Linked DNA regions of Arabidopsis thaliana. The protein of the gene in region 1 interacts with the protein of each later gene in a pairwise test. Each region holds a gene or a part of one and is shown on either strand. Other genes may lie near its edges.

The links.
Region 2: the proteins of AT4G22240 (region 1) and AT3G61310 interact in a two-hybrid assay, tested with the Arabidopsis thaliana proteins (one large-scale study listed by BioGRID).
Region 3: the proteins of AT4G22240 (region 1) and VDAC3 interact in a two-hybrid assay, tested with the Arabidopsis thaliana proteins (one large-scale study listed by BioGRID).
Region 4: the proteins of AT4G22240 (region 1) and AT5G22620 interact in a two-hybrid assay, tested with the Arabidopsis thaliana proteins (one large-scale study listed by BioGRID).

Annotation. Positions count from the first base shown.
Region 1 is NC_003075.7:11,764,006-11,769,553, forward strand, and holds AT4G22240 (Plastid-lipid associated protein PAP / fibrillin family protein), read right to left. Parts: upstream 3,418-5,548; 5' UTR 3,223-3,417; coding exon 2,801-3,222; intron 2,681-2,800; coding exon 2,485-2,680; intron 2,400-2,484; coding exon 2,085-2,399; 3' UTR 1,798-2,084; downstream 1-1,797. Other genes in the region: AT4G22235 (defensin-like protein), read left to right, coding at 1-84; AT4G22250 (RING/U-box superfamily protein), read right to left, coding at 3,680-4,324. UniProt on the Arabidopsis thaliana protein: Probably involved in light/cold stress-related jasmonate (JA) biosynthesis.
Region 2 is NC_003074.8:22,686,437-22,696,000, forward strand, and holds AT3G61310 (AT hook motif DNA-binding family protein), read right to left. Parts: upstream 6,715-9,564; 5' UTR 6,010-6,714; coding exon 5,553-6,009; intron 5,238-5,552; coding exon 5,170-5,237; intron 5,069-5,169; coding exon 4,937-5,068; intron 4,852-4,936; coding exon 4,690-4,851; intron 4,609-4,689; coding exon 4,363-4,608; 3' UTR 4,145-4,362; coding exon of another isoform or gene 1,226-4,144; 3' UTR 1,174-1,225; downstream 1-1,173. Other genes in the region: AT3G61290 (O-glucosyltransferase rumi-like protein (DUF821)), read left to right, coding at 1-336; AT3G61300 (C2 calcium/lipid-binding plant phosphoribosyltransferase family protein), read left to right, coding at 1,226-4,144; AT3G61320 (Bestrophin-like protein), read left to right, coding at 7,383-8,246, 8,312-8,479, 8,566-8,772, 8,862-9,038. UniProt on the Arabidopsis thaliana protein: Transcription factor that specifically binds AT-rich DNA sequences related to the nuclear matrix attachment regions (MARs).
Region 3 is NC_003076.8:4,887,802-4,894,639, forward strand, and holds VDAC3 (voltage dependent anion channel 3), read right to left. Parts: upstream 3,803-6,838; 5' UTR 3,589-3,802; coding exon 3,540-3,588; intron 3,084-3,539; coding exon 3,016-3,083; intron 2,833-3,015; coding exon 2,722-2,832; intron 2,619-2,721; coding exon 2,532-2,618; intron 2,439-2,531; coding exon 2,230-2,438; intron 2,141-2,229; coding exon 1,840-2,140; 3' UTR 1,722-1,839; exon of another isoform or gene 1,492-1,721; intron 1,370-1,491; 3' UTR 1,163-1,369; downstream 1-1,162. Other genes in the region: AT5G15080 (Protein kinase superfamily protein), read left to right, coding at 36-159, 252-754; PIN8 (Auxin efflux carrier family protein), read right to left, coding at 4,358-4,424, 4,526-4,602, 4,685-4,842, 4,929-5,014, 5,346-5,535, 5,611-6,136. UniProt on the Arabidopsis thaliana protein: Forms a channel through the mitochondrial outer membrane that allows diffusion of small hydrophilic molecules. The channel adopts an open conformation at low or zero membrane potential and a closed conformation at potentials above 30-40 mV.
Region 4 is NC_003076.8:7,515,561-7,522,794, forward strand, and holds AT5G22620 (phosphoglycerate/bisphosphoglycerate mutase family protein), read right to left. Parts: upstream 4,722-7,234; 5' UTR 4,664-4,721; coding exon 4,362-4,663; intron 4,133-4,361; coding exon 4,027-4,132; intron 3,934-4,026; coding exon 3,717-3,933; intron 3,622-3,716; coding exon 3,503-3,621; intron 3,344-3,502; coding exon 3,251-3,343; intron 3,075-3,250; coding exon 3,009-3,074; intron 2,912-3,008; coding exon 2,813-2,911; intron 2,694-2,812; coding exon 2,586-2,693; intron 2,510-2,585; coding exon 2,171-2,509; 3' UTR 2,139-2,170; exon of another isoform or gene 1,943-2,138; 3' UTR 1,669-1,942; downstream 1-1,668. Other genes in the region: AT5G22610 (F-box/RNI-like/FBD-like domains-containing protein), read left to right, coding at 1-619, 713-862, 961-1,356. UniProt on the Arabidopsis thaliana protein: Phosphoglycerate mutase-like protein lacking PGM activity, but having 2-carboxy-D-arabinitol 1-phosphate (CA1P) phosphatase activity.

The DNA.
Region 1 (5,548 bases):
AATGTTGGTGGTGGTCAAGGGATATGTTGGTGCTGCCGTGATTATGATGCTGCAAAGAGCGGTGCTGAAAAGGAAAGCATGTGATTGCAGATGATAGAAAACGACGTCACTTAATTTGTGTGTCTGTGTGTTTTGCTATTTGCATGTTTATGATTTCATCTCACATCCATGTTTGAGTGTTTGCCTTCTACTTTGGGGGTATCAAAATAAAGCTTTGGCTTTTGCAATAAAACTAGCTGTCTAAATTGTGTCGTTGTTTTGTTTCTTTGTTCCTTCACTTTAAACTTTTTCAGTTTTTTTTTTATAAAAAAAAATTCAAACACAAATACGTAATGATGTAGACATGTATTGTGTTACGTTTGTGTTCGTTATAATTTTTGTAATTTTTAGGTGTCATATACTGATAAAATGCCAAAAGTAGTCTGATATATATGGACTATAGTTGCTTTTTTTAGTGGTTGTCATCTTAGTCTTAGATCCATAAATTTATTTAAATTATTATACGAAGAAGGTCGGATGATGAAAGTTACTATTATTATGATAGTGTTTTAGATAATACGAATACAATAATAGTAATCAATGTATATCTTGTTTGACCGTGAAAAGTTTTAGACCCAAGAAATGGACCCTGTTTGTTAGGTGGTGGCAGAAATACTTAATTCCTTTCCAAAAATAAAACACGATTATTTTTCTTTTATACGTTTGCATAAAATTACAAAATTACAAAAGAGAACTAGTCCTTGTTGTTATATGCTGTAATTCTAATGGACCATTCTTATTTTTATTTTGTACTTAACATGATAAAATTTATAAAAATACTGTAAAACATTAATGAGTGAAGAAGATTCGGGAGATACACTTTGCATGGCTGCACATGATATGTCTTAAAACAAGTGACTTTTAAGACAAACCACAATTATTTTCTCTTTTTTCAGTAGTTTGGCAGATTACAAATTTATTGCGAATTTATCATCTAAAAGACTAAAATATAGTAATAGAAAATAAAAAAAATCATCTGCAAACCTAAACAAAAGAATGTATTTTTGACAACAAACTATATTATTACTAACGGTAGTTAGAGCGGACAAATACGTCAGCGATTTAGTCCGCTCTATTTTTAAAATGGGCAATAAACCGTTACGAACTAATTATATTTGTATGTAAAAACAGTCCGTAGTTAATCTGCAGTGGTTTTTTTTTTCTTTTTTAAATTCGCACCTATACAAATATGAATGATAAATAAAAAACAGTTCAAACCGCAAACGAATTTGTCCGCCTTAACCGTTGCAACCATTCAAATCCTATATAGCAAATATGTGCTACAATGATAAAGAGAGACATAGAAGAAAAAGAAAGTAATAAAACTCAGTTTACAGATTATTCTTCATTGTTATCATTATTATTGTCTCCTCCACTTTCAGTTTTGGCTCTGATTCATGCTCTCCGCATCAAACCCTCCACCAAACTGTACATAACAAAACACAGTTTCAAACTTTCAGTTATATGAGAAATTTGGTCAATTTAGGTTTCTTATGTTCTTGTCTGAATTGAGTTTTTCCTTTACCTGATGGTCTCTAAATAAATTACAGAAAGAACAAACACATTCAAAATAGGGCTTCAGATATTGAGAAACTCTATGGCATATGCTAGAAACCTCGAGTACTATACTAACAAGTATCCCATACCATACTAATAGAACCATTTCCAGTGACTGAGTCCCTCAAAAAAAAAATGATAGGCATCAAGCACAGAGTGAACCAATTAGACAACAAAATGACAGTCATCATCTCGATTCTTATCGAAAGACCCGACGTTGCCGGGATAATTCTCATGTAACTCTTGCATCGGTACATAGTTTACTTTCTAAATCAAACAGAAGAGAATGAAATTCTAAAACACTTGAATTTTGTGAAAATCTGAGACACATTTCATAGGCCATAGACGAGATGTTCTGTAGTAGTTAAAAACATTATATTCCTTATCATCGAGTTAATAACAACGATTAAGAAGTAAACCTACAACCACACTATATATTTGTCTCACTTAACACAACGACAAGAGAGAGACATATATTTTGACCAAGTTCAAGGATTCAAGAGAGGGCTTCCTTCTTTGATAAGCACAAAGACACTTCCACCGTCTCCTCTAGAGATCCGAATGTCTTTGTCTAGATAAGTCGTGAGTAGCCAAGACTGCGCATTGTCCGCCGGCAAAGAGAATTTCAACGGTGGTTGGCTTGATATGGTTCTAGCCACAGACGAGGCTGTGTCTTGCACCGAGGTAAGTAACCCTCTGATCGGGTTAAGATCAATCTTTTGACCAAGAACCTCTACATATTCCGGTATCTCAATAGAATCCGTTAGCTGAGGCGTCCCAATTACGCCTTGCTCAAACTTAATCTGCAAGAAAAATGAAATCCAAAACATTACTGAAAACGTTTCAAGATGTTGATATCAGATCATGGTCGATGAATGGTCAATTTACCTGGACGCGTTTAGGGCTTCGGATTTCGAATTTAGCGTTGGTGCTAATCGAGTTTGTACCTAAAGGACCAGCGAAACGAACAGAGTTCTGGACGGTGAAGTTATCTGAATCAATGGTTTGAGAGATCTCATCGACTTTTATTAACGGTACGATTCCTCGTGATAGCAACGGGAACAAATTCACGAACGATGTGTAGCTGCAAAAGAGGTTTAACCAAATCAAAAGCAGCACGAGATCTACCATTTGAATCCAGAATCCTACGAATGATGCTATCTACAGGACTACAAGAGAAAGTTTTCACCGGAAAAAAACTTACGCGAGGATCCATTTGCCGTTGAGAAGGAAAAGAGCTTCCGTCGGAGCTGGAGTAGGGTTCTTAGACTCGAGCTGTGTGATTAGATCTCCGATTTCAGCTCTGGTTTCGCTCGATGCGCTTAAACCTCGATCTGTTCCGTACAACGAATCCACGAGCGATCTCTTTAGCCGCTCCGTCTCTTCCACGTCTTCAATTGCTTCCTCCGCCGCCAATAGAGCTGATCCTATCTCTCCCGTATCTGTGGCTCGGACTTTGAAAACTCTACGGGGGGAAACAGCGATTCCTCCGGTGGAGATCATCGGGCGGTGAATAATTGAGGTCACCGGTACCAGAAACGGAGGCTTGGAGATAGATTTAGAGTTCGGTGAGATTGAAACTCTGGTTTGGCAGCTAAATTGGGTGGACAATTGTACCGTCGCCATTTTTTTTTGTTTCTTCGACTAAAATTTCGAAGCTAGTGAACAAGAATAGACCTGTACTGATTTTATAGACATTGTTACGTAAATGTTTTGCTTTCATCAACTACCAAACTCACACCAAGAGGGATAATATCGACTATTCCACATAGATCATGTACATTCGACTACGATACTGCCACGTGAGAGACAAGATCAACGGCCAAGAATCCACTCGACGGTGTGAGGCGAGCATTGTTTAGGCTAGATAAAATCCAAAATAACGGTTTACTGGGCTTGAATAGACTAAATGGGCCTCGTGAACAAAAAACCTCTTGTATTCTTTTTTGCATTTACATCATCTTCTTCAATAACCAAAAGAAACGTACAAAGTACACAAACCGTAGTTAAAACTTTGGAAACGTATCTAGGGATCACCTCACTTACTCACGTGGATCGAGAACTTTTAGCCGTCCGATCGTTTTCAGAAAATATCGAGTATCTCAATGATCGGACGGTTACAAAGAGGACACGATCCACGGTTCAGCCACAATTCTCTAGAGCACACTCTGCAAAAAGTATGACCACATGGAATAAACGCAGCGCCTTTCTTTCTTCCCATACACACGCAACACACCGAATCATTACCCGTTAACGTCCCAATAGACGCCGTTAATATCTCCGTTTCTTTCCCGTCGTCATCAACGATTTTCTCCGCCGTCTCTTCCAACAATCTCATCAACGAAACTCTCCTCGGCGTCATATCTGCCTCCGCCTCCGTCGATTCTCCACGGTTATACCTCTCCGCTTCTAACGCTGTCGCGAGATTCATACCCGTACCCGATCCATGATCCGATTCGAGAACGAGTCCGGTTTCAATTTGTAACTCTTCGATTTCGTCGTCTCTTGAGGTTGGACTGTGAAGAGTGGTGTTGTTAGTTAGACGGAGATTCCAGGTTGGACCACAGCATCCGATGCATTTGAATCTCAACCGTTCTTTTAACGTCCGTTTCCTTCTGGTGAGATCGTGACCGCTCATCTGTCGTCGGAGCAAATCAAGAAACGTCGTCGTCGTGCGGTGTGTTTCCGTCATCCTCTGACTCGTTCCGAGATCGAGTTCACTCATCATCGACTCGGTAACGGAAACTCTAAACAAATTCTCAGATAGTGAAACAGAATCACCAGTGAAATAGACAGATTAGCTCCGCCATGAGAGAGCCCTGTGAGGGAGAGAGAGAAACTGTTTAGATCTTTGGGTCTCGCAGTGATGATGACATTATAAAGGAAGTTTTCAGAGTTTTTTTTTTCTCTTCACATTTCTTTATTTTTTTTGTTAAAGTTGCTTCCGAATATTGATTTCCCGCGAATTAAAATTACTTTATACAGTTTTACTAATTTTTAACAGTTATAACGATTCTGTTTGACTGGTATTCCACACAAAATTACAGTAGTAGTGGAATCGAGTATATTTGTAAAATATTTTTCCAACTTGAGTATATAACTTTCAATTTTTAAAAACCAATTTTTAATAAGTTACTTACATCATTGTTTAAAACTTAAAAGGTTAATCAACTTATAATTATGTGTAATTTACCGAGAAATGATGTACAGTGTACGCAATGGGGGCAACTATAATGTTAGTTCTTCTGAATTTCTGATAGAAAGAGAAAAAATAAATTTACTTAAGAGGAAAAATTTAATGCTGTTTCTGTAACTGTACGACTTAGTTTTAAAATTAAATAAAAAAGTCTTCAAGGTCTCGAATAGAAACAAAATCGAATTAGTACTTAAGTTTATACTCCCTCCGTTTCATAATATAAGTTGTTTTATACCAAATTTTTTGTTTTATAATATAAGTTGTTTTCAAGTTTCTATGCAAATTATATATTATTTTAATACTTTATGATTATTTATATTCTACAGTTTTTTTTATAATTGGTTGAACATTTTAAAAATAAATATTCTTAATATACGTATTTTTAGTTAAAACAACTTATATTGTGAAACGAAGGGAATATTACCAACAAAAAAGGTCCTCCATCGGAGTTCAAACCCTATTAAAGATTAAACAAATCATCAATCGAATAAAGGTACTATTAATGTAACGCTAACTCTGAAATAAAAGCGACGATCAAAGTATTCGAATTTGATTACTGCTAATTATACTAGACTGATGAATTCTCTTACCTGTGCTATAACCGGAACATGGTTTTTTGGTAAAACCTTTCTGGCGGGAAAACATTTTTGTTATTAAACCCGCGGAAAATCATTTTAAAAAGTGAAAGGCAAAGAAGAGACAAAAAAAAAAAAAAAAAAAGAAGAAAAATTAAAGAAGGCGCATGAATCAAGGCTT
Region 2 (9,564 bases), on another chromosome or scaffold:
CTAGAGATGAAGTATGTGTATGATTACATGTTGTATGTGTTGCAAGGGTACGGGAAACTAATGAAGTTGGATGTGACTGTGCCTGAAAATGCAACCGAAGTGTGTTCGGAGACGATGGCTTGTCCGATCACTGACGGTGGCCTGATCAGGCAGTGCATGGACGACTCATTGGTTATGTCTCCAAGCGTTAAATCGGCTTGTGATTTGCCGCGGCCTTATAGAGATGATGAGCTGAAGAGGTTTCTTGAGAAACAAGAAAGTGCGGAGAGAAAGGTTGAGAAGTGGACCAATGAGTATTGGGAGGCCCAAAACAAGACATTTCAACAAAGAAAGTAAGTACAATTCACCCGGGAGTAATGCAAGTGGTATAACAATATTAAATGTTTAAAACTTTATGTCAGTCGTCATATAAGCACCAACTTTGTTTGTTTTTTTAACAAATGAATATGATATCATTAATTCTTTTCTGTTAACTATCATTATTGGTTAGACGTCCGATTTTCACATAAATATTATCAATTTATCATTTAAACAATGCAGGGAAAATAATTGGAACCTTGGTTCGTTGGTGCTAATGTAAATGAAATAAATTAGTTACAAGTTAAAGAAGCATTGCATAATTGACCCCAAAAATTACGAGTTTACATTGTAAAATTAGGCATTTGCCCAAAATATATATATATATATATATATATATATATTTACAGTAAATAGCCAATTTGTGGAAGGTATTCAATTTATTTATCTGCAAAATAATTTTCGATAGATAGTTGTGAGAAAAAACCTACCAAGCGAATTCGATAGATAGATTTTTTTTGCTTGAGGTTTTAACAAATTTCATGTCTTTTTTTTTTTCTGATAACATACATGACATTTTCTGAAAACCCTACCACGCAATTTTACTAATTTTGGATTTAAATACGACAATGTACCTAATAAGCCCTTGCATTATCCCCAATCTTACTTGTTGACAAATAATGTTTTTATTTAATATCATATAAATTCATAATCAAAAGAATTCTGATGATTGGCGTCACGATTAATAACAGATAAGCGCGTTGCGTGACCCTAATTAAATACGGTCAACGTTTAATTACATTACAAAATTCCCCCAAAAAAACATTTGCCTAGTTGTCTTGTAAGACAAGTCTCCACGATCTCATAAGTGTAGAAGAAACTTTCAAAAACCTCTGCTCTGTTTTCTTCAGAAATTTTTTAAGTAAAAATGATGAGTAATCTGAAACTTGGCGTTGAAGTCATAAGCGCAAGGCTCAAACCTAGAGAGGACTATGGCGGTGTTAACGCTTACGTCGAGCTACGATTTGACGATCAGAAAGTCATAACTATGACTAAGATCGATGACTCTAGTCCGGTGTGGAACGAGAAGTTCTTCTTCAACATCTCTGATACAGAGGATTTATCAAATCAATTTCTTGACGCTTACGTTTACAATAAAACCAGCAGCATAACAAAATCTTGTCTAGGTAAGATTCGAATATTGGGAACTGCGTTTCTCCCGTACTCAGAAGCTGTTGGATTGCCTTATCCTCTAGAGAAAGAGAAATGGAGCATGTTCTCTTCCGCTGCCGCCAATGGAGGTGAGCTCGCTCTCAAAGTTTTCCTCACTGATAACCCCTCTCCCAAGGTACCGAATCTAATCTCTACAAAGAAGATTCCTTCTAAATCAAGGCACAAATTTCACAACATCCCCACAAATGAGAGTAACCATAGCCCACGAGGGAATCAGCAATCGTTTCAACCGCAACCGCCTCCGCCTCAATCGCAAACGGCTCTACCGCCACCGATGATGGAGTCTTCTCTCTATCAAGCACCGAGGTTTGGTACTCCGATACCTACAACTATGGGGTTTAATCCGAATCCACCGGATTATTCTATCAAAGAGACGAAACCGATTCTCGGAGGAGGCAAACGAGCAAGATCAAGTGATCATGATCTCGTCGAGCCAATGGAGTTTCTCTTCATCAAAATCGTGAAAGCTAGAAATCTTCCATCCATGGACTTAACCGGAAGTCTAGATCCATACATCGAAGTCAAACTCGGAAACTATACCGGCAAAACCAAACATTTTGAGAAGAATCAAAACCCGGTTTGGAACGAAGTCTTCGCTTTCTCCAAATCCAATCAACAATCAAACGTTCTTGAAGTCATCGTCATGGACAAAGACATGGTCAAAGACGATTTCGTCGGTTTAATCCGGTTCGATCTCAATCAGATTCCGACACGTGTCGCACCAGACAGTCCTTTAGCTCCAGAATGGTACAGAGTCAACAACGAGAAAGGAGGCGAGATTATGTTGGCTGTTTGGTTCGGTACTCAAGCCGACGAAGCGTTCTCAGACGCGACATACTCAGACGCTTTAAACGCTGTTAACAAATCGAGTTTGCGTTCTAAAGTCTATCATTCTCCAAGGCTTTGGTACCTCCGGGTTAATGTCATCGAGGCACAAGACTTAGTTATTGTACCAGACCGGACTCGATTGCCAAATCCATATGTAAAAATCCGGTTGAATAACCAAGTGGTTCGAACCAAACCGAGTCACTCGCTGAATCCAAGATGGAACGAAGAGTTCACTCTCGTCGCGGCTGAACCGTTTGAAGATCTGATCATCTCGATTGAAGACCGAGTCGCACCTAACCGAGAGGAAACGCTGGGAGAGGTACATATACCGATTGGTACAATTGATAAACGGATTGACGATAACCGGACAGTGCCTAACCGTTGGTTTAGTCTTAAAACTGAGAACCAGAGAAGAGTCAGATTCGCGACGACGAGACTTCATCTAAACGTTTGTCTAGAAGGAGGCTACCACGTTCTTGATGAATCTACTTACTACAGCAGCGATTTCAGACCGTCGATGAAAGAGTTGTTGAGTCATAAACAACCGTCTTTTGGTGTTCTTGAATTAGGAATCTTGAGAATTGAAGGTTTGAATTTGAGCCAAGAAGGGAAGAAGGAGACGGTGGATGCTTATTGTGTAGCTAAGTATGGAACCAAATGGGTCAGGACTCGAACCGTTACGAACTGTTTAAACCCGCGGTTCAATGAGCAGTACACATGGGAGGTTTATGAGCCAGCAACTGTAATAACAATCGGTGTTTTCGATAACAATCAGATCAATAGTGGTAATGGTAACAAAGGAGATGGGAAAATTGGGAAAATCAGAGTTAGAATCTCGACTCTCGAAGCCGGAAGGATCTACAGTCACTCGTATCCGCTTCTTGTTCTTCGACCTTCAGGTTTAAAGAAAATGGGGGAGTTGCATTTAGCGATTAGGTTTTCCTGCTCATCGATGTTTCAGATGCTAATGCAGTACTGGAAACCGCTTCTTCCCAAGATGCATTACGCAAGACCGTTGAAAGTAGTGCAGCAGGAGATTCTTAGGCAGCATGCGGTTAACTTAGTGGCAGCTCGGTTAAGTAGAGCCGAGCCGCCACTTAGAAAAGAAGTAGTTGAATACATTTCGGATTCAAATTCGCATTTATGGAGCATGAGGAAGAGCCGTGCAAATCTCTTCAGATTGAGTTCTGTTTTCTCTGGTTTACTAGGAACCGGAGAATGGTTTCAAGATATCTGCAGGTGGAAGAAACCGGTAGAAACTACAGCTATTCATATAATCTTCTTGGTGTTAGTGTGTTCGCCGGAGATGATTCTTCCAGTGATGTCTCTTTGCTTGTTCATGCTTGGGGTATGGAACTACAGGCTCCGTCCAAGACAACCTCCACACATGGACACAAGACTATCATTTGCAGACAATATCCACCCGGAAGAGCTTAACGAAGAGTTCGATACCTTCCCTTTTTCGTCTCAAGACCCGGGGATTGTAAAAATGCGGTACGAGCGGTTAAGGAGTATCGCTAGTAGAGCTCAAACGGTTGTGGGAGATATAGCAGGTCAAGGAGAACGAGTTCAGGCTCTGTTAAGCTGGAGAGATCCAAGAGCAACTTCGATCTTCATGGTGCTTTGTTTGGTTTCTACTGTCGTTTTGTATGTTGTGCCGTTTAAGGTTTTTGTTCTTCTCGCCGGACTATACATCATGAGACCTCCAAGATTCAGGGGTAAGACACCTCCTGGACCTATTAATTTCTTCCGACGACTTCCTGCTAAAACAGATTGTATGCTGTAGAATGCTAAAACGTATAAGAAACAAGCAATTTTTTTTCCCATTCATAACAAGTCAAGAGACCAAATCAACTAACTGAAAGCTCGAAAACACGCAGAAATTCCTAAACTTACTAATTGTCTTTTTCTTTCCTAAACAATACCAATAGACTACTTTGTTTCAGGGAGGTTAGCTCAAGTTTCTTCTTCTTCTCCTAGATTCAATGCTTATATATACATGAATCATCCACGCATTAGATCAATGTCCATATGGGGGTGATGCATATCCATTGACCTTGAACCAGTTGACCAAATGCCTACAGGAGTCTGAACAATGTTCTGACTTTGCTGAGGAACAGGAGGTGACGTTGCTGCTGTGTTATCGTTGTTGTTTTCCAAAGCATCAGTATCTTGGACATCTTCAGAAGTTTCTTCACGTTTTTTAATCTTCCCTTTCGGAATTGCCCAAATGAAGCTGCCAACAATGACCTTTTAAGGAGGCAAACACACATAGTTAAGCATAAGAAATCTAAATTCATCTAAGGAATTTGATAACAAGCGTAAGCTCACCTGGACTTGGCTTGCTGCTATTAGAGGACCTCCAATTCCACCACCAATGACACGACCATCGGGGCTAGCAAGTGAGACCGCTAGACTTCCAGTGCGGTTTGGGTAGTCATTGTCAGTTGTGTTCAGATAAGAAGTTGAGAGAGATATGAGCTCGAATAGACCCTATAAGTTTCAAAGTATACACCAAAATAAGTAATGTTTTTGTCTTCTAAAAGATAATAAAATGTGAGTGATGATTCAATAAAACCTCGTATATAATAGTTCCATGAGAAGGTGCTGGCTGAAGAAGAGTTGCAGTAGAGACAGCACCACTTGCGGATAAGACACATATCGCTCGTGGACCTTGATGCGAGAACGATATAACCTTTGAAGCAATGTCCTGAAAGCAACACCGAGAGTATGGTTATCTCAAGAACTAGAGGCAAGATTACAAAGAAAAAAAAGAACAGATTTATTCAAGAGGAGACAGAAGAAACATACTTCACCAATGGAAACTACGATTACATGCGGTGTGAAGCTCATCCCAGTTGATGAAGGCATCATTTCACCTTACAAAAAAGAATCAAATGTCTTCAGAAAAATCACAGCTAATTGTAATCAGGGAGAAACAGAGCAATAACAAAGTTTAAGAGAAAGGCCAAGGAATAATAAAAGAATAAATATTGAATTCAACAATTTGACATTATAAAATTCCACAGCTTTAATTAATCCTTAACAGTTCGAATTAGCTTATAATAAACTTCCCACCAATGTCCTCATTTGAAAAACTATATCATCAATTAAGCTCAAAACTTCCCACCATATTCAGAGCCAATGTCCTTGTCGGAAAATAAAACTCATAAGTTAGAGATTAGGGATATTACCAATGGAAGATAGCCGTTGCTTCTTGCCGGAGCCAGGAGGTCTTCCACGGCCACGTTTGTTAGAGTTCGGGGAAACGTTGGAGATAGAAGGAGACAATGCCAACGAAACAGAACCACCATCTTGTCCATATTTTCTAGGCCGTCCTCTCTTCCGCTTCACAGACGTGTCACCTGAAGGAGGAGCAACCAAAGCTCCCGCCGCCGCCGCTGACGAATCAGCCGGAGAAGAGTCAACGGGTAAAGGAGGAGACACGAATCCAGTAGAGACACCTCCAGGGTTTGGATTTGGGTTTGGGTTTGACCCAAAAGGAGAGATGGAATTGGTGAAATGATGAAATCCTTGTGATCCGTGAAACGTTGGTTGAGTTTGAGGAGGAGGAGGACCAGAACCGGGGATTCCTCTTTGGATATAGTAAGAACCCGACCCGGATAACGCCATTGCGTCTCTTCGATCCATAGCTTAACCAAAAAGACTCTGACTTTAACTTAGTAAAATTCGATGGGGACCCTAAATGGCTAACTTATAGGAGGAGGGATAAGAAGAGAACAAAATCAGAATCTAAAAGGGTTCGATAGACTTCAAGAGCAAGATAACAACATGCAACCGAAAATCTCTGAAAACTTATCAAAACACACAAACTTTCATTTCACCTAATTGTTTTTTATGTAGCTTTAGTATCAAGCTATGAGAAAATCTCAAGATGAAATTAGATCCAAAAGAGAAAAGGAAAGAACTTTAATTTTCTTCATCTCTTCTTCTCTGTTTCATTCTCTCACCAAAAGCAAAGAAATGAAGTGTGAATAAGCTTTCTCATCCATCAATCAACAATGGTGAAGAAAAAAAAAAGTTTTCTAGGGTTCTCTCTCTTTCTTTCTTCAGAGTGTATGTGATGTTGCTTTTTTTCTTTTACTGGGTGACAGAGGGAAAACAGAAACAAACAAAAAAAGATCCTTTCTCCAAGCATTTACTGTGGATTACAATACAATGGGATGATGAGGCAGGATTTCAAAATTCGAAATTAAATTTGAAGTCTCTGACTTTTGACTGTGATATAAGCTCTCTCTCTATCTCTCTAATAGACTTCTTTCTAGCATCTAGCAATTTGTAGGAGGGATCCATCCATCCATCATCATCATCATCTTTGTGTGGCTCATTCTCAACGCTATAGATTAGGTGCGTGTATCAAACGAAGCATTGGGAATGAGAGAGTGAATCTCACGCTTCTGATGTCGAGAGTGAGAGAATAGTGATGTGATCTAGTCAAGACTTTCTTTGTTCCTCACTGGCTTCCACTTCATCATAAGCTTTCAAAATTTATGAATCCCCCAATCTATCTTTAGACTCTATTTTACCATAAATACTTGAGACTAATGATTATATATTGGCATTAAGAGACATATAACATGAATATAAATTCCCATTTTGTGGAGTAAATATTGTTCTTGTCTCTGTTCTGTTCACTTTAAATCTTCATTTTTCTCTACAAACAATAATCATTAGGACCCAAGAGTTTATCAACAATACAGAATCTGAACGTTTAGTACTCATGTCATGTGAAGTGAAGTGAAGAAGATCAACAAGAACATTAATTGTTTGCTATAATCTTCTATGGGCCGGATAGGAATAATTAGGCCCAGTATCTAACACATCAAACAAAAACACATCGAAGTCGAATCGTCGGTGGGATAATTAGGCCCAGTATATTCAAACAAAATAACATTTAACAGATCCAAGTCCAATGTTGTCGTGGAACGAACGTCGTTTAGAATAATTAAGCCCAGTATTTAACATATCAAAGCCCAATGTTGTCCTAAAACGACGACGTTTGAATGTGGAACGTAAACAATCCTGGAACAACCGTTTCAACTACCTTTTTCCTATCACTTGTTTTTTCACCTCTCGAAGTCCTCCGATTTGCTACCCTTACGCAGCCTCATGTGTCAACCACCATTTCTCTTCTTCATCTTCGTCTCTATCAAACCCTAAACCTAAAACCCCTTATTTTCCCGCCAATGTATCAATCCATGAATCTATCAGTTTCTTCCAATTTCACTCACCGATCACTCCTCGAATCACGATTTCCTATATTCTCCACCGGATTCCGCAAATCCGTCAATCTCAAACCTCCCCGTGTCTCATCTGGTCCTGAATCCAACGATTCAGGTCACGAAACCTTAACCGATAAGCTTATCCATCTCCTCAGAGCTGTTCCAGATTGGGCAGACGAGATTAAAGAGCGTGGGATGCAGCAGAAACGCTCTCTCTACACACACGAGAAATGGGTTGAACATAGAAGCTCTCTTCGCCATGTGCGTCATCTACTCTCGAGCTTTTCTTCACGAGTTATACTCTCCCTGATTCCACCTGTTTTCTTCTTCACAAGCGTCGCGGTTGTGATCGCTAGCTACAACTCCGCCGTGGCTTTGGATTGGCTTCCTGGTATTTTTCCAATTCTTCGATCCTCGTCGTTGCCGTATCAGCTCACAGCTCCGGCTTTGGCTCTTCTTCTGGTCTTTCGTACGGAGGCTTCGTATTCTAGGTATGAAGAAGGAAGGAAAGCTTGGGTTGGGATTATTGCTGGAACTAATGATTTAGCTAGGCAAGTTATTTGTTCCGTTGATAGCTCCGGTGATGAATTGATCATCAAAGATTTGCTTCTTCGTTACATTGCAGCTTTCCCTGTTGCTCTTAAGGTAAAAAATATTCATCTCTTGCTTGACTCTATTGTTGGTTTCTGATGCTTTAATTTCATTTGCAGTGTCATGTGATTTATGGTTCAGATATAGCAAGAGATCTCCGGAACTTGATAGAAGCAGATGACTTATCTCTGATTCTTCAAGCAAAGCATCGTCCGCGTTGTGTAATCGAGTTCATTTCTCAGAGCATTCAGTTGCTAAAACTAGACGATGCAAAGAGAGATTTGTTGGTAGCATTCTTGAATCCTTGAACTCTCTATTAAAATTCTTTGCTATGAACACTTGACACCAATATATGTTCTTTGCGTCATTGCAGGAATCAAAGATGCTGCATTTACATGAAGGAATTGGAGTTTGTGAACAACTCATGGGCATTCCGATTCCTCTCTCTTACACACGCTTAACCTCGAGGTTTTTAGTCTTTTGGCATCTAACTCTCCCAATCATTCTCTGGGATGAATGCCATTGGATTGTTGTTCCTGCTACTTTCATTAGTGCTGCCTCTCTGTTCTGCATAGAAGAAGTACTTTGTCCTCCTCCTCCTCCATACTTACCCTCTTTTGCTTGAATCCTTAACCATTAAACCTTCTTTTTGGATTGGAAACTCTGCAGGTGGGTGTTCTTATAGAAGAACCATTTCCTATGTTGGCCTTAGATGAGCTTTGCGATCTTGTGCATAGTAACATCCAAGAAGCTGTTAAATCTGAGAAAGTCATACGTAACCGCATCATTGCAAAGATAAAGCTCCATGAATTCAAGCACTCATCAAATGGTCGCCATAGATCTTGATTACCGGTTGGTGTGAGTGATGTAGGTTGTCTTCCCGAGGGAGCTAAGAACATGTGATGGCTTAGGTTAGCTTTGATATATACGTATCGTATGTTAGAGTAAAATTCTTTTAGAGGTAATGGAGAAAGTGTTTAAGTGTTTTGAGAGAGTTTTTTAGGAAATAGAACTTTTATTACTTTGCTTTAAACTTGAATACAACTTCACAACATTGCAACATTTGAGAGGGGGAGGAGGTATTTATAGCCTCCAAACTACAAAATATCTAAAATATTTTAATCCTAAGTCTAGAGAGTTCTTACATAAGATCTAGATTACATTATTCAAATTATCTAGATTATTCTATTAGAGTATCTAGATTTTTATGTTTAAGGAGGTGGAAGATGATTCTAGAAAATTTCTAGAATCTTTTAAGGAGGTGGAAATGATGATATTTCTAGAGAAAACTCTAGAACTTGGATTTGGCCATAATTAATTATTGGATAATTGATCCAATAATTAAACTTGATTCAAAATCAAGTTTAACTTT
Region 3 (6,838 bases), on another chromosome or scaffold:
TTGCAAATTTTTTAACCAATAAATCCCATTGTCAGGACTACAATGCAAAACTATCAGATTTTGGACTTGCCAAAGATGCTCCTGATGAAGGCAAAACCCATGTTTCTACTAGGGTTATGGGTACATATGGCTATGCTGCTCCCGAATATGTAATGACCGGTGAGTCCTCTTTGGTTTCATCCATTTTCTTCAACTTGAAAACATTCAATGTTTACATCTTTGTTGATTTGCTTCCTGTTGAACTTGTTAAGGTCACTTGACATCAAAGAGCGATGTTTATAGTTTTGGGGTGGTTCTACTTGAAATGTTGACTGGACGACGATCTATGGACAAAAACCGCCCAAATGGTGAGCACAACTTAGTGGAATGGGCAAGACCGCATCTTCTTGACAAGAGAAGGTTTTACCGGTTACTTGATCCGAGGCTTGAGGGCCATTTTTCAATCAAAGGTGCTCAAAAAGTGACTCAGCTTGCTGCACAATGTCTTAGCCGTGACCCCAAGATTAGGCCAAAGATGAGTGATGTTGTGGAAGCACTTAAACCACTTCCGCATCTGAAAGACATGGCAAGCTCTTCTTACTACTTCCAGACAATGCAAGCTGAACGTTTGAAAAATGGGTCAGGTCGATCCCAAGGATTTGGATCAAGAAACGGGCAACACCAACCCGTGTTTCGAACACTGTCTAGTCCTCATGGTTCTTCGCCTTATCGACATCAGATTCCTTCGCCAAAGCCTAAAGGAGCAACTACATAGCTCTTACGTGGTGGAAATAGGCCACAAACGAACAGAGCTAGAAGGCTCAAGCTTTTATCGTCGTTTTTAAGCAACAAGGAGATATTTTTAAACAACGTTAGGGTAACTCTTTAATTGATTAATAATGTACGATGGAGAAGGGTAAATCCAAATGGAAAAAAAAAAAACTGATTTTGTCTTCCATTGCTGAAAGCATAGAAAAGTTATAAATTGAAAACATTTTTGATGCTCTTTATAAATTGAAAACACCAAGTATCTACCATTTTCAAACGCAAAAGCCAGTATCCCGGAAACAGAGGTATCGTGTTTGTTCATCTACTTCTGGTGGTCAGAATGATAGATTCAAAGTAGAGTACACTCCTTGGCTTATCGTTGGGTTGGGCAATCCAGGAAACAAGTATCATGGAACAAGACACAATCTTTTTCTTTTACTGATTTGCTGGATTTGATCTCGGCAATGCTACAACTTTGTGTTGTTTTCAGGTTGGTTTCGAGATGATCGATGTGTTGGCTCGAAAAGAAGGGGTTTTGATGAACACGATACAGTCCAAAGCTCTAATCGGAATAGGTTCTACTTCTCTTGCTTTTGGTTCTTTGGTTTGAAGAATAATAAAACTGATGACTTTTTGGTTCTATGTAAGAATCAGTACAGGTGCTATTGAAGGTGTACCTATCTTGTTGGCTAAACCTCAGATAAAAATCTGACCAACTAGACAAAATTAATTAGACATGTAAGAAGAACCTCATAGAAAAATCCACTAAGGGAACTCCAAATGGAACAAAGTATAGCAGAGGCAGAAAATAAAAGAGAGAACCAAGTAAAAGATATGGAACAGAGTATTGTAGCAGAGGCGGAAAATAAAAGAGAGAGAGCCAAGTAAAACGATCTTAATGGTTCTTTATCGTCAAAGACGATCCTTTCAATAGTATTTTTCTCTTTTATTTTCTACAAATCCCAACACCGAACAAAAAAAACAAATGAAAGATTGTTTAGCAAACCAGACAGCGATTTGTCCAAAGATTTGAAGACGAAAAAGAAATAACACCTATTCTACCCACTTCAGGGCCCATTTGGTGGTATCTTCTCAGGGCTTGAGAGCGAGAGCAATCCCAACCTTGGCACTCTTATCGATCGCCTTAGAATCAACCTCTCCAGAAACGGTGAAGAACGACTTTGGACGCCACTCATGTTGGATCAGAGCGTTAGCCACACCAGCATTGTTCACTCTTGCCTTCACTGTGGTCAATGGGTCAAGCGCGTGTTGAGTTCCGACAGTGATGGCGTTCTCTTTGGTCGTGAAGTTGTGGCTAATCTCAGCTCCAACCACAGTCGACGGGCTCACAATCTGGTAGTAGGATGCATTCAATTTCTCACCTTTGTCATTCCTGAAAAAAAACAGTTTAAGAAACAACTCTTTTAAAACCAGCAGCATTAAAATCTCAAGTCATCATTTCATATGGAGGGAGGCACTTACAGAATGAGGGAAGCAGTCAAATCATCCTTGGTGAAGTTGAAACCAGCATTGAAATGTTTGAAGTTGCCAGATTCGGTGTTATAGGCCACATCAGTACCAAGAGACAAACCATTGGTTCCAACCACACCGGAGAAGTTGACAATCGGGGTAGCTGTGAATCCAACGCTGGTAGAGATACCAGCATAGTCATGGAAATACTGAACCTCAGCCTGCTCAGAAAACAACAAATAATGGTTATCTCCAACATACCAACCTTTAAAAAAACGGAACAGAAAGAAAAGAAAGCTGGTGGAGTTATATACCTTTCCAGATTTGTGATCGGGCAACTTAGCCTGAACAATAACTTTCAGTCCAGGGGCAGGCTCATCAAAGGTAAGAGTGGTCAAAAGCTGAAATTATTCACACACAAAAAAAAATCAATTGAATACTCCAGCAGCAATCGGCAACATCATATATCTACTAGAAACAGCTAAAGCTAAAAAGTCTACTTACAGAAGAATCAGTGGAAACTTTGACATCAGCAGTGAAGTTGTTGTTCTTCACTTGGGTAGCAACATCACCCAAAAACAAGCTTCCTTTGTTTGTTCCCGTTGTAGTGATCGCCTACAAATTTATCACCATTCGACACAAGAAAGAGTCAAGTGAGAGTACACATGAAAACAAACTGTACAACCAAATTTGACATAACAGAAAACTAGACAAATCTCAATTTTATCACTAACAATAAACCCATCGCACCAACAAAATAGAGAATTGACAGAAATAAAAACAATAATAAAAACTTACAACACCAGTTGAAGAGTAAGTGGTGACACTGAATTTCTGGTCTCCTTGGTAATCCCTGTACAGAAGATCTACAATAGCATTCAAAAACCTTCAGATTCAACTCAAATAGAAAAGTTCAACACGAGACAACTACTCTGTATCCTTGATAGACATTTTCCAGATCCAAGATAAAAAATTTCAAAACCAGCTAATCAACGAGTGACCCAAAAATTGAAACCCAGAGAACCAGTCTTGTTATTCTATCTATACAGATAAACGAAACGGATAGCATAAATCTGACGGAAACGAACACAGATATTATCAATCAGCTCACAAAACACGAATATTTAACTTTTTATGCATCTATTCAAATTTCAACGACCTAAGCGTGACCGATAGAAATCGGAATAAAACCAGGAATGAGAAACCCTAACCGATTCAATGAATATCAACCTAAACCCAGATCAGAAAAGAGCTCAAATGTTTACGAAATGTCAACAACAGTCACATTCGCGTCACCATAGAGAAAGAGAGAGAGATCGTACCTCTGGCCTTTTTGCCGATTTCAGTGTAGAGTCCTGGACCTTTAACCATGATTGCCTCTGGAAAAATCGAAGAAGCTTTGAAAGATTCCGAAGTCGAGAAGAAGAGTAATGGAGGATTCTGGAGAAAATGAGGTGTGGTGTTTGTGTATATAAGGGGAAGAAGAAAGGGTAACCCTAAATTAATTTATATTATAATATTGTATTTCCCTGCTTATCAAGTAAAAATATCTCAGCCGTTAGATTAATATGACATGAGTCGGTGTCCCTCTTTATCAACCGTTGATTATATATTCCCCTCTCTCCAAGGCATTTTTTTTATGTTTTTTATTTGATTTTCGTATTCTTATTTTATTTTTTTATGGCTTTTTTCCATTTTTCATTGCGTGGCAAGCAAAGCAGGCCGTGTACTCTCTAGTTTTCTTCATCCCCAAAATTTATTTATTTTTATATAATTTTTTTTTTGTTGTTGAGTCTTTGACAATGTCTATTTATTTTCTTAGAGTTAACCATCTGAATTGTTCTTATTAATGTGATATTTAAATTTTCTTAAATGGTGTTCTTTTATATTTACTCCTATATAGTATCTATTATCCTATTTTTTAAAAAGAATAAGTCAAAATTTTGATTTTACTAGTTGACATGTTTTTTTCTAATTTAATATCAGGAGAAAAATGATTTACAATAATTAAAGAGAATGGTTGACATTATTAGCTTTATAATTTCAACATCTAAAAAACTATGACTAAATTAAATACCATATAAAATCCAAAATTAAGAGCCTACGTATAAAACATGTTTTTTTTTTGAACATGTCATATTCATAGGTCCAATAGAAAATAATATGCCAAAGTTGTTGGTAAGGCAATTAGCATTCCAAATATCACCCTGAAAAAGCAAAACAATAAAAACCACAAAAATAAATTTCAAAAAAATTGTAATAAGAAGAAGGAAAAAAAAAAATCAAATCAAGAAATATATTTATTTACCCAGTACTAATGATCTCCGGGTGAAGATTATACTCTTTTGCAAAAACAAATGGCACTACTCCTTGAGGCAATGCTGCCTACAACACAATAAATCAATCGACAAAAACATATATATGACAGATTTTATTATTAACGGATTATTAATTTTAATATTTTCACCTGTAATATTGCTACTTTGAAGAGAGTACTTTTTAATCTGATGCAATACGCAGAAGCAATCATAAGAGCAGGTCCTAATACGAACTTGAGCAGCATTGTTATAATCGCCATTTTTGTACCACATGCTATGATACTACTTTGTGATGCCATGAACAGACCTGTTTCATTTTTTGTTAAATTAAATTTAATTTCCAATCATGAAAGTTTAGTTTTTTTTTTTTTTTTGTATAGATATATAGCTTACCTAAGCTGAACATGGCCATTCCTAAGCCTCCATCAGATAATAAATGTATTGATTTATCAATCATCTCAGGCAAATTCCATCCCAATCTATTGGAGAAAATAAATAAAAACATGAGTAACATTTGATACAAACTATTAAAAAAAGAAGCTAATCTTAATAGTTGGGAATATCACTTGACTATCACTTTTCGATTTTAAAATATTAAAAAAAATGAATTTGTAGATGCGAAAAATGATCAAACAGAAAGCTTAAAATAGGGGAAACTCACTACTAAATTATCGCTTTTCTTTTTGAAAAAGAGAAAAGGAAGTGTTTGAATATGTAAGATGATAAAGATTGAATCTTTAGATGTGTAAGATGATTTATCACAAAAGATATGATTGCAGTGTTAAATATAAGAGAGTTTTGTTTTCACACCTGAAATGTAAAGTAGCCCAAATGATTCCGATCAATGTTGCGTATGTATTTGGATTGATTATAAGCTTTCTCCAAGCCTTCAATAGAATCTTCATAGTTCCAACAGATCTTGTTCTCACTATTGCTACTTCTTCTTCGTCCTCTTCTTCTTTTGGCTCGTCCTCTATATTAGCCTCTTCCTGGTCATTGCCTTGTTTTACAAGAAACCAAGATTTAATTAGGGTAAATCATTTTTTATCGAAAAAACGGAATGATTTTTAGTTACCTGTATGTTCTAGGGAAGCTCCAGAAGATGGTAACGCCCTTGCGGCGTTAAGCTCGAACAAAAAGAGCAAGATGGTGTACCAAATCAAGCTTTGCAAGACAACAATCTGCTCCAAGATGCTCGCAGCTTCATCTCCATAGATGGCACTCAAGATTGGCATTCCAAGAATGAGAGTATTTGGCAACACCGATATAGATAATCCGGTTATGACCCAACCCAATTTTCCTCCTCTTCCTCCTGTTGGATGCCAGAATCTTAAAACCATGGCTAATACAACAACGACTAAGAATTTCTGGAGAATATCAGAGAGAATGAGTTTAGGGCTCATCTTGAAGGGGTTGTTTTCAGAGATTATTTGAAAAGAAAGCAAAGGGATGGAGAATTTGGCCACGAATTTGTTGATGCCTGCGCATTGTTCGGGTGAGAAGAGCTTTAGATGTCTTGCAGAGAGGAAACCTAATGTCATTGAGACATAGAGAGGAACAGTTGCTGAAACAACATGGTAGATATCGAGCCAGGAGATCATGTTTTTATCAAATTGTACAATACAAAAAAAAAAACTAATAATACAAATTTGAAGAAACTCGAAGGAATAGTTTCTTCCAAATTAATGGAAAGAAACTGTGGTTGATCTTATGGCATATATATGGGTAAAGTCGATGGCTTTTTTCTTTCTTTTGTTCAAATGTGGAACTCTTGAATTTCAAGGTTTTTGATTCCACAATGAATATTTTGTTTCAAAGGGAAAAAATGAAACAAAAACACTGGGTTTAATTTATTTTTCTTATTTGTTGAAAGAAGAAAATTATCCCTTTAATTATAATTCTTGTTGAGATGGGTTTGTCTAAAAATCTACATATATACAATACTGCGGTATTCATTTTCTTTGAAAACAAATTGGCATTTTCTTCTCACCACATTTATATAAGAAAAGAACAAACGAAAATCAAAAGATAAAAAGAGAAGGCTGTTTAATTTGTCTTTTGCATGAACAAAGAGGAGCTAAATATGCTCCAACAGAACTTTAATTCTATAGCCTTTGATTTTTTCTTACCTTAGATACTTAAACGAAAAAAAATAAAAATTACAAAGAAATTTTTCCCTTTTAAATAAGCATATATAATGGTATAGCTTATTTATATATATATATTTTTTATGACAGTTTCTGGTCAGATGATATACAAGATGCCATCAAAATGTCTTTCAAGTAATGATTGTAATTCTTATA
Region 4 (7,234 bases), on another chromosome or scaffold:
GGCTAGGGGTAAACTTCAGCATCTTGATGTTGAGTTTGGTGGTCGCGTAATGGAGCGTGAGTTTTGGGAAATGATGCCCCTAAGCCTCTATATCTGTAAGACGCTCCTTCACTTGAGACTCTATCGGGTATTGTTGGGTAACTTTGATCAGTCTGTTGATTCTTTACCTAGTCTCAAGAGCATGTGTTTAGAAGAAAATGTATATTCTAATGAGGCGAGTCTGGAGTCGCTTATCTCGTCTTGCCGCGTTCTCGAAGATTTGACCATTGTTAAGATAGATGATAACGTAAGGTTTTTACGAGTGCATTCTCAATCATTAACCAGTCTAAGTGTAGGATATAAATCATATTATCCTGGTGAGATATATTATTATTATGATAGAGATAGAGGGAACTCGGGACTTGTGATTGATGCCCCTAGACTCAAGTATTTGACTTTCAACAATGACCAATCGAAAAGTAAAACCATAAGCAATTTAGGTTCCTTAGTTAAGGTCACTATTCTTGGCCCCATAAAGATTTCAAGGGTAGTGGGCTGTACGGAGCAACAAATGGCCCATAAGTTTCTCACGGGCATCTCAAGAGTTAGGTATCTCATCGTCTCTGAAGATATGATGGAGGTATGTTTTTATGAACTTCATATTGTATATATAATCCTATATAGAACTTTTGCTAACCCATTGTCTTCTCTTCGTTTCTTTTTTTGCAAGCAGGTCATCAGTTCCTACTTGAAAGAAGATTCATTGCCACAGTTTGGCAACTTGTCCTATTTGAAAGCAAGTGTTTGGTTATCATCCTTTGACTTCCTGGACATCCTGCCAAAGCTTCTTGAAAGCTGTCCGAATCTAAAATCCATCGTCTTGGTAATGACTTGCACCAACTTCCAAATTAATCTTGTAGTTAGAGAAATGATCTTGTTATATATCTAGTTTATATTATATTCATCTTATGTATATTGTAGGAAACAACTTGTATAGTTGATCGTACGAAAGCTACGGTAGAAAGGAGAGTCTCGTCTGTGCCTGAGTGTTTGTTGTCATCGCTGGAGTTTGTAGAGATAAAAAACAGAATCTCGGTAGATGATGGTGCATTGGAAGTTGCAAGGTACTTTGTAGAGAACTCTGTGAATCTACAGAAAGTTGTTCTGCGTTTGGCATCTTCCTTTCTAAGACGAGGAAATCAAGCTGTCTTGAAGGATATCCTTGAATTGCCGAGGCGATCTAGCATGTGTCAGATCGAAGTCTTTAATGCGCTAAACGGCCATGCTCTTTGTTTTCGCAAAAACAAAATAACCGGCCGTGTTTTCTTAGACTATTTTGATGTTGCTGAATCCTATTATGGTGCCATTGTGAGTTAAAGTGGCAAGGTACTTTGTAGAGAACTCGGTAGTTCTCAAGAAACTTGTTGTGCATTTGAGTGACTGTTAGAAAGACTTTTAGGTGGTGCTATGACCGAGACTAGCACTCCTAGAGATTGGACTTGGATTTTGATTTTGTTGAATTCTGTTATCATGTCTTTGTATTTATATATACTTTGGACAAAGCTCTCAGGGTCAGATGATGATGTTGAATTCCAAACTATTTTTCATGCAAAAAATTGCTATACATTACCGTAATTTTGCCGGGATTTAGGAAAAGATTCTTCAGGCAGGTCTTGTGATGGGGATGGACCATCTTCCAAGATGAGCGGTGTTACTCCTTTGTAGGATTTTCCACGTATGGCTCCAATAAGTTTCTCGTCTGTGCCTCAATGTTAGTTGTCATCCCTCGAGTTTGTAGAGATAAAAAGCAGATTCAAGGGGAGGCCTGATGAAGTGGCAAAAGGTACTTTGTAGAGAACTCGGTAGTTCTCAAGAAACTTGTTGTTCATTTGAGCGATTACATGCAGAAACGAAGTTTGGTTCACTTATTAAGGGATCTCCTTGCATTCCCAAGGCCGTCTAACTGTCAAATCGTATACGTTGTTGACTGTTAGAAAGACTTTTAGGTGGGGCTATCTAGCTACGATCAGACCGATATTAGCATTCCTAGAGATTGAACTTGCATTTTGATTTTGTGGAATTCTGTTATGATGTCTTTGTATGGTTTTGTTGAATTCCAAACTATATCTTATGCAAAAAATTGCTAAAAATAACATTACCGTAACTTTATCGGGGTTTAAGACAAGATTCTTCAGGCGGGTTTTGTGATAGGGATGGACCATCTTCCAAGATGAGCGGTGTAGTTTGTGCAACGGATTACTCCTTTGCTACTAGGACCATCCGGGAAATCTATGACACTGATGCTACCTGCGTCTAGGTGAAACAACCCGAGCGCTTCTTTAGTGAGGTTAAGGCATTGTGCTATGAGTGAAATGTGAGTCATTGCAGGACCAACCACCACCATGATTTCTCCAGGGTTTGACTTCTCATCCGATAGTTCGTCTAAGAGTGATTCCCATGCTTTCTCGGATCTGTTCCACAGAGCTGAAAACGCTTCTTCGTCTAATTGACTTGCAATCACATCATTGTCCTGCAGAATTGATGGACCAAAAATATCAAAACAGTGTTCACTTTACTATTGATTGCATCGGGATAAGTTATCTTGCCTTATTGGATTTGCGAAGAACACTCTCAACATCAAGCTCATTCATTTGTTTCGTTTTCACGTAGTGAGGCACATTATCTACACCTAAACAACCCGCAGCTTCTTGCACCTATCAAGTCTTTAAACTGTTAAGAGAAAAAAAAACAAGATTCCGAAGAAATAGATTTCTTAAAGTCTTCAGTTTTTTAAGAAAAATGAAGCTAGTATATAGAGAGTTATATAACTTACCCGGGATATTACTCCAGAAGACTCAATGGAGGCTGTTTTAGGGCTGCAAACTATTGAACTAACCCTTAGATCAAGTAGAAGCTCTGCGGTTTTCTGTGACTGCAATAATCAACAAGTATATTTGAAGAGTAAACTAAATGCAGGATTAAGAACTTTTTTACAATTGTCCTTCACAAAAGTCATATGTTAATGTTACATGTATCACACCAAGCATGTTCATTGCCTGATCATTATTAGCTGCTTGGTTAATAACAGCAGAATCCTGAGATGTTGAAAAACAAAGAAAATCAGGTAAAATTTGACCTAAAGCCTCCAAACTTTTCTTAGGTCAGAAATTTGTGTAAAGAGCTAAACACCTTCCAAGCGCATCCATGGAGGTTAATTCTGGCAAATAAAGATTAATTAAGAGAACCATGTAAGGGATTCATACAACTATACCTCATTATTCCCCTGACCATGGCAGACAAGTATAATCTGCTTACTAGCTTTCCGGCCACCAGAACTTCCACCAGCTAGAGGCGAATTAGGTGTCTGCATTAGTACTACAAAGACAGTAAGCAGAATTTTGACTACCTCTAACATTTTACACCCAACTCAAGAATCTTGCAACAACAAAAAAAAAGTTCATATAACTAACATGCTTATGACTTATGACTTTCGTGTTTCATCAAAAAAAGAAGGTCAGCTTACCTGATTTAGTCGATTAAGACATACGTGAGGAGATCCACCGTCAGCTCTTGGTATGAAGTCCAATACACTTACACCACAATTGCTCTGCAACAAACTCCTAAAATATTCTGTTCCCAGTCCTAACATATCAACCAAAAACCACAGACTTAAAAAAAACTTAACAGAGAAATGAAAAATCGGCTAGTCGCTAAAAGAAGAAAAAAGAACAAGTTACCAATTGCTGTTGCCAGAAGAGCCTGATTAACAGCATTATGAGCAACAACGAGAACAGACTTGCTCTCATGAGCAAGAATACCAGGCCAACAGCTTCTAGCACGTGACCATAACTCTCTTACGGGATAATGACCATCGATGATAAAGTTCGCCGGATCTTCTTGCCATTGCTTAAAAGCTTCCCCAAACTTCTCTTTCCCTTCTTTCTTAAGTAGACCCTAGTATATAACCATCAACTAGAACAAGAGTTAAGAACAACTACGATAACTGTTCTATGTGAATCTATATCTCCCTATCACAGCTACACTTACTTGAAAAGAGTAGAGATCGATTTCTCTGAGATCGTAATCGAAAATCATCTCACTTTCTCTACTTCCCCATATGATTTCAGCTGTTTTCTTTGATCTCTTCAATGGACTGATGATCACAATGTATAACAACAACAAATGCAGCCAAATTTACAAAAAGGCTTTAACAACAAAAATCTCCATCACAAAGAACAAGAACAAAAAAATTGCAGTGATTACTATCATAATCTGTATCTCTGATTCTTCATAGTCAATTTCATCAATTCGATGTAAAATCCAAATCCAAGTGACTAGATTTCAAATACCGATTCAATAGATATAATAAGAAAATGCAGGACCTGGTGAAGCAGACATCGAAGGAGTCGTCGATAAGCATCTGACGAGAAATTTCAGCCTGAGACTCGCCTTTCTTCGTCAAAACGGAGAAATCGGAGCTTCCTTGAATCCTCCCTTCTTCGTTCCACGTGCTCTGTCCATGTCTCACAAGAACCACTCGCTTCGTCGTCTCCACGGTGAATTGGTCTTGTAAGCTCGATGATGATCGAATCAATAAGCGGCGGCGAGTCGAGTTTTGCCGGCGGGTTTTGTGGAGAAGACACCGGCTGGGTAAAATCGGTGTAGTGAGTGGTAGAGAAATCATTTTATTTTATTTTTTGTTTTATGTTTTTAGAAATAAGAAGTGATTCTTATTTTTTCATTTAGCGGGAAGTTCGATTTTATCGTGGGTTTTATTTGGGCCGTAAAGGCAGGCCCAATAGACCCAATTTTTATCATGCTTAATCAAGTTTTTTTATCTTTCTTTTTTTTGTTCACTAATGATTTGGTTTTCACTTCTCACTGATATAATTCACTTTGAAATACAAAACACTGGCAAGGGCCGAGGGAAAGTACATGGAGACTCCCAAAAAACTATACCAAATTAAGGTGAAACAAACAAATAATGTTATTTATCATATGTTATGTTATTAAAAAAAATACAATGATACTATGTTATTAAAAGGAAATAGCACAATTTTGCACGAATTCGGAAAACATTTGGGGAAAATCGTGAATTTTTGTTTGCCTTTATATATGATTTTTAACTGGAATTATTCCGAAATGTTCATAGTTTCATAATCTCATCAAGATTTAAAACTAAATTCTGAACACTTGTTAAAGATTCAGGTAAATTTTGTTGTAATATTGTATGTTTTGTTTCTTGAATTTTGGTTAGATCACCCCTTTCTGAATTTGTACGATCATTTATCAAACGCAATTAAACATATTCGTTTGGCATTTATTGTCGATTGCAACCAAAAGCTGATCTTGCATATTAGTTTTGTTCGTTTTGTACTTCTTGTTATATGTTGTCAGATTTTAAATGGGTTGACATGAAAATTTTGGTCACAGACTCGTACAATTTATCGACACATATAAACAACATTTAATTGTGGTTGATGGAAACGAACATGTCTATTATCATTTTTCGATAAAGTACCACTCAGTATAAAAATATTATCATTTGTGGTGAGGACAAAAAACTAAAACATAAAAACCACAATTTTCCTTGACCAACAAACAAAAACCCCCACAAATGGTAATACAATTTTACCTTTTTACGTATTACGAAACGAAGCTTACCATCAGAGACTCTTGTAGCCAAAAGAGAAGCAAACGAGATAATTGAAAATAACAAGGTTCACGTGCCGTATTAGTGGGACTTGGTTACTTTATTCACATTTTGCAAAGACGTAGAACCTTCAATACTAACGTGAACATGTAACACGTGCATCTTCTAAGTTAATATGAAGTCAATTTTGTCAACAAGAAATAAAGTCAATAGTACAAATATTTTTATAATCCATTTTCACTGGTTTGGTCTCGGTTTGATTTGTTTAGGTTTGGAAATATTCTTACCAATCTAAGTAATTAACTATGACTTTATTTTTCCTATCGTACTTTGGTACTCTTTGGGTTGGTCTGTGGTGAAAAAAAACTATCAACTATAGACTTAGAAAAAGAATTGTAGAAAAATGTTAATTCTTTTCAAGATAAAATGAGTTGTTTTGGTTTGAAACAAAAGCGAACCTAAACCTGGTGGTAAGAGAAAAGCACTACCGAAAATTTGAAATCGAACCCCTTAATTAGTTCTTCCATTTTAGAGATTTCCATATACGTTAATCATATGCTACAAATGGTTGAATTTCTTATAATTTTATTTTATAAAATTGAACGATATATCTTATCCATTAATCAAAGTTAAAATCCCACCAAATCTTTTTTGTTTTCTCAGATCATCGTGCGCACTGCGCATGCTAGCTATGTTAACGTTAGGAAAACAAATTGTACGTAAAGGTTTGAGAAACAATTGATCTGATAGGTGAATTTAGACAAACATGCCATTCTCTTTTCGATATGGCATGAAACTGGTAGAAAGAAATTTGCCATTTTTTAGTTATGTATTTTTTCGCATATTCCTACCATTTTGCTAATTAAAGGTGTAATTTAGAACGAGATATAGGTCATGATAAAAAAAAAAGGTAAAAATAAAGTCGCTAATCATATTTGACAACAAAGTTAAAAAAAGATTTTCAAACGTTAATCAAGAGTCAAGACAGATGAAAAGAAATGTAGAAAGGATCAATTCAGCATGCTTAGGTGCAATGTTAGATAGTCCCACTTGGGTTTCACCAACTTTGCCATATTAAACCTTTACAAGTTTATGAATTAAAAAAGGTTTCAACAACCCCATCGATAAATCTTTTACGGCCAACAATTGCTTGTTGATTGTTTACTTATGTTATAAAACGATATTATTTTCAATATATTATGAATATGTGTTTTCTTTTTTCAAAACGAAGAAAATAAACTAGAAATATTTATATTAGAAGCTGGGCTTCACTTTTGAGACCTGAGGTCACACCTATATATCTTTAACTTTAACGAGAAGAAACATATATATGACACACGAATTACATAATCGTGGCATATTGGAGCTGTTGTTACTTGTTAAGTTGTCAGTGATTCTTTTATTTCCTGCATTCTAATAATTTATTATACATAATATTTCGGTATAATTTAGTACATAAACTTATATTAGCGTCATAATTTTTTAGTATAAATTAGTATGTAAACTTTTTGTTAGCATCACTGCATCACATGAGAATCTCTTTTTCTCATTGATAAATGGCTTAATCAATGGGTTAAAAAGTAGGGTATGCAATCAATATAC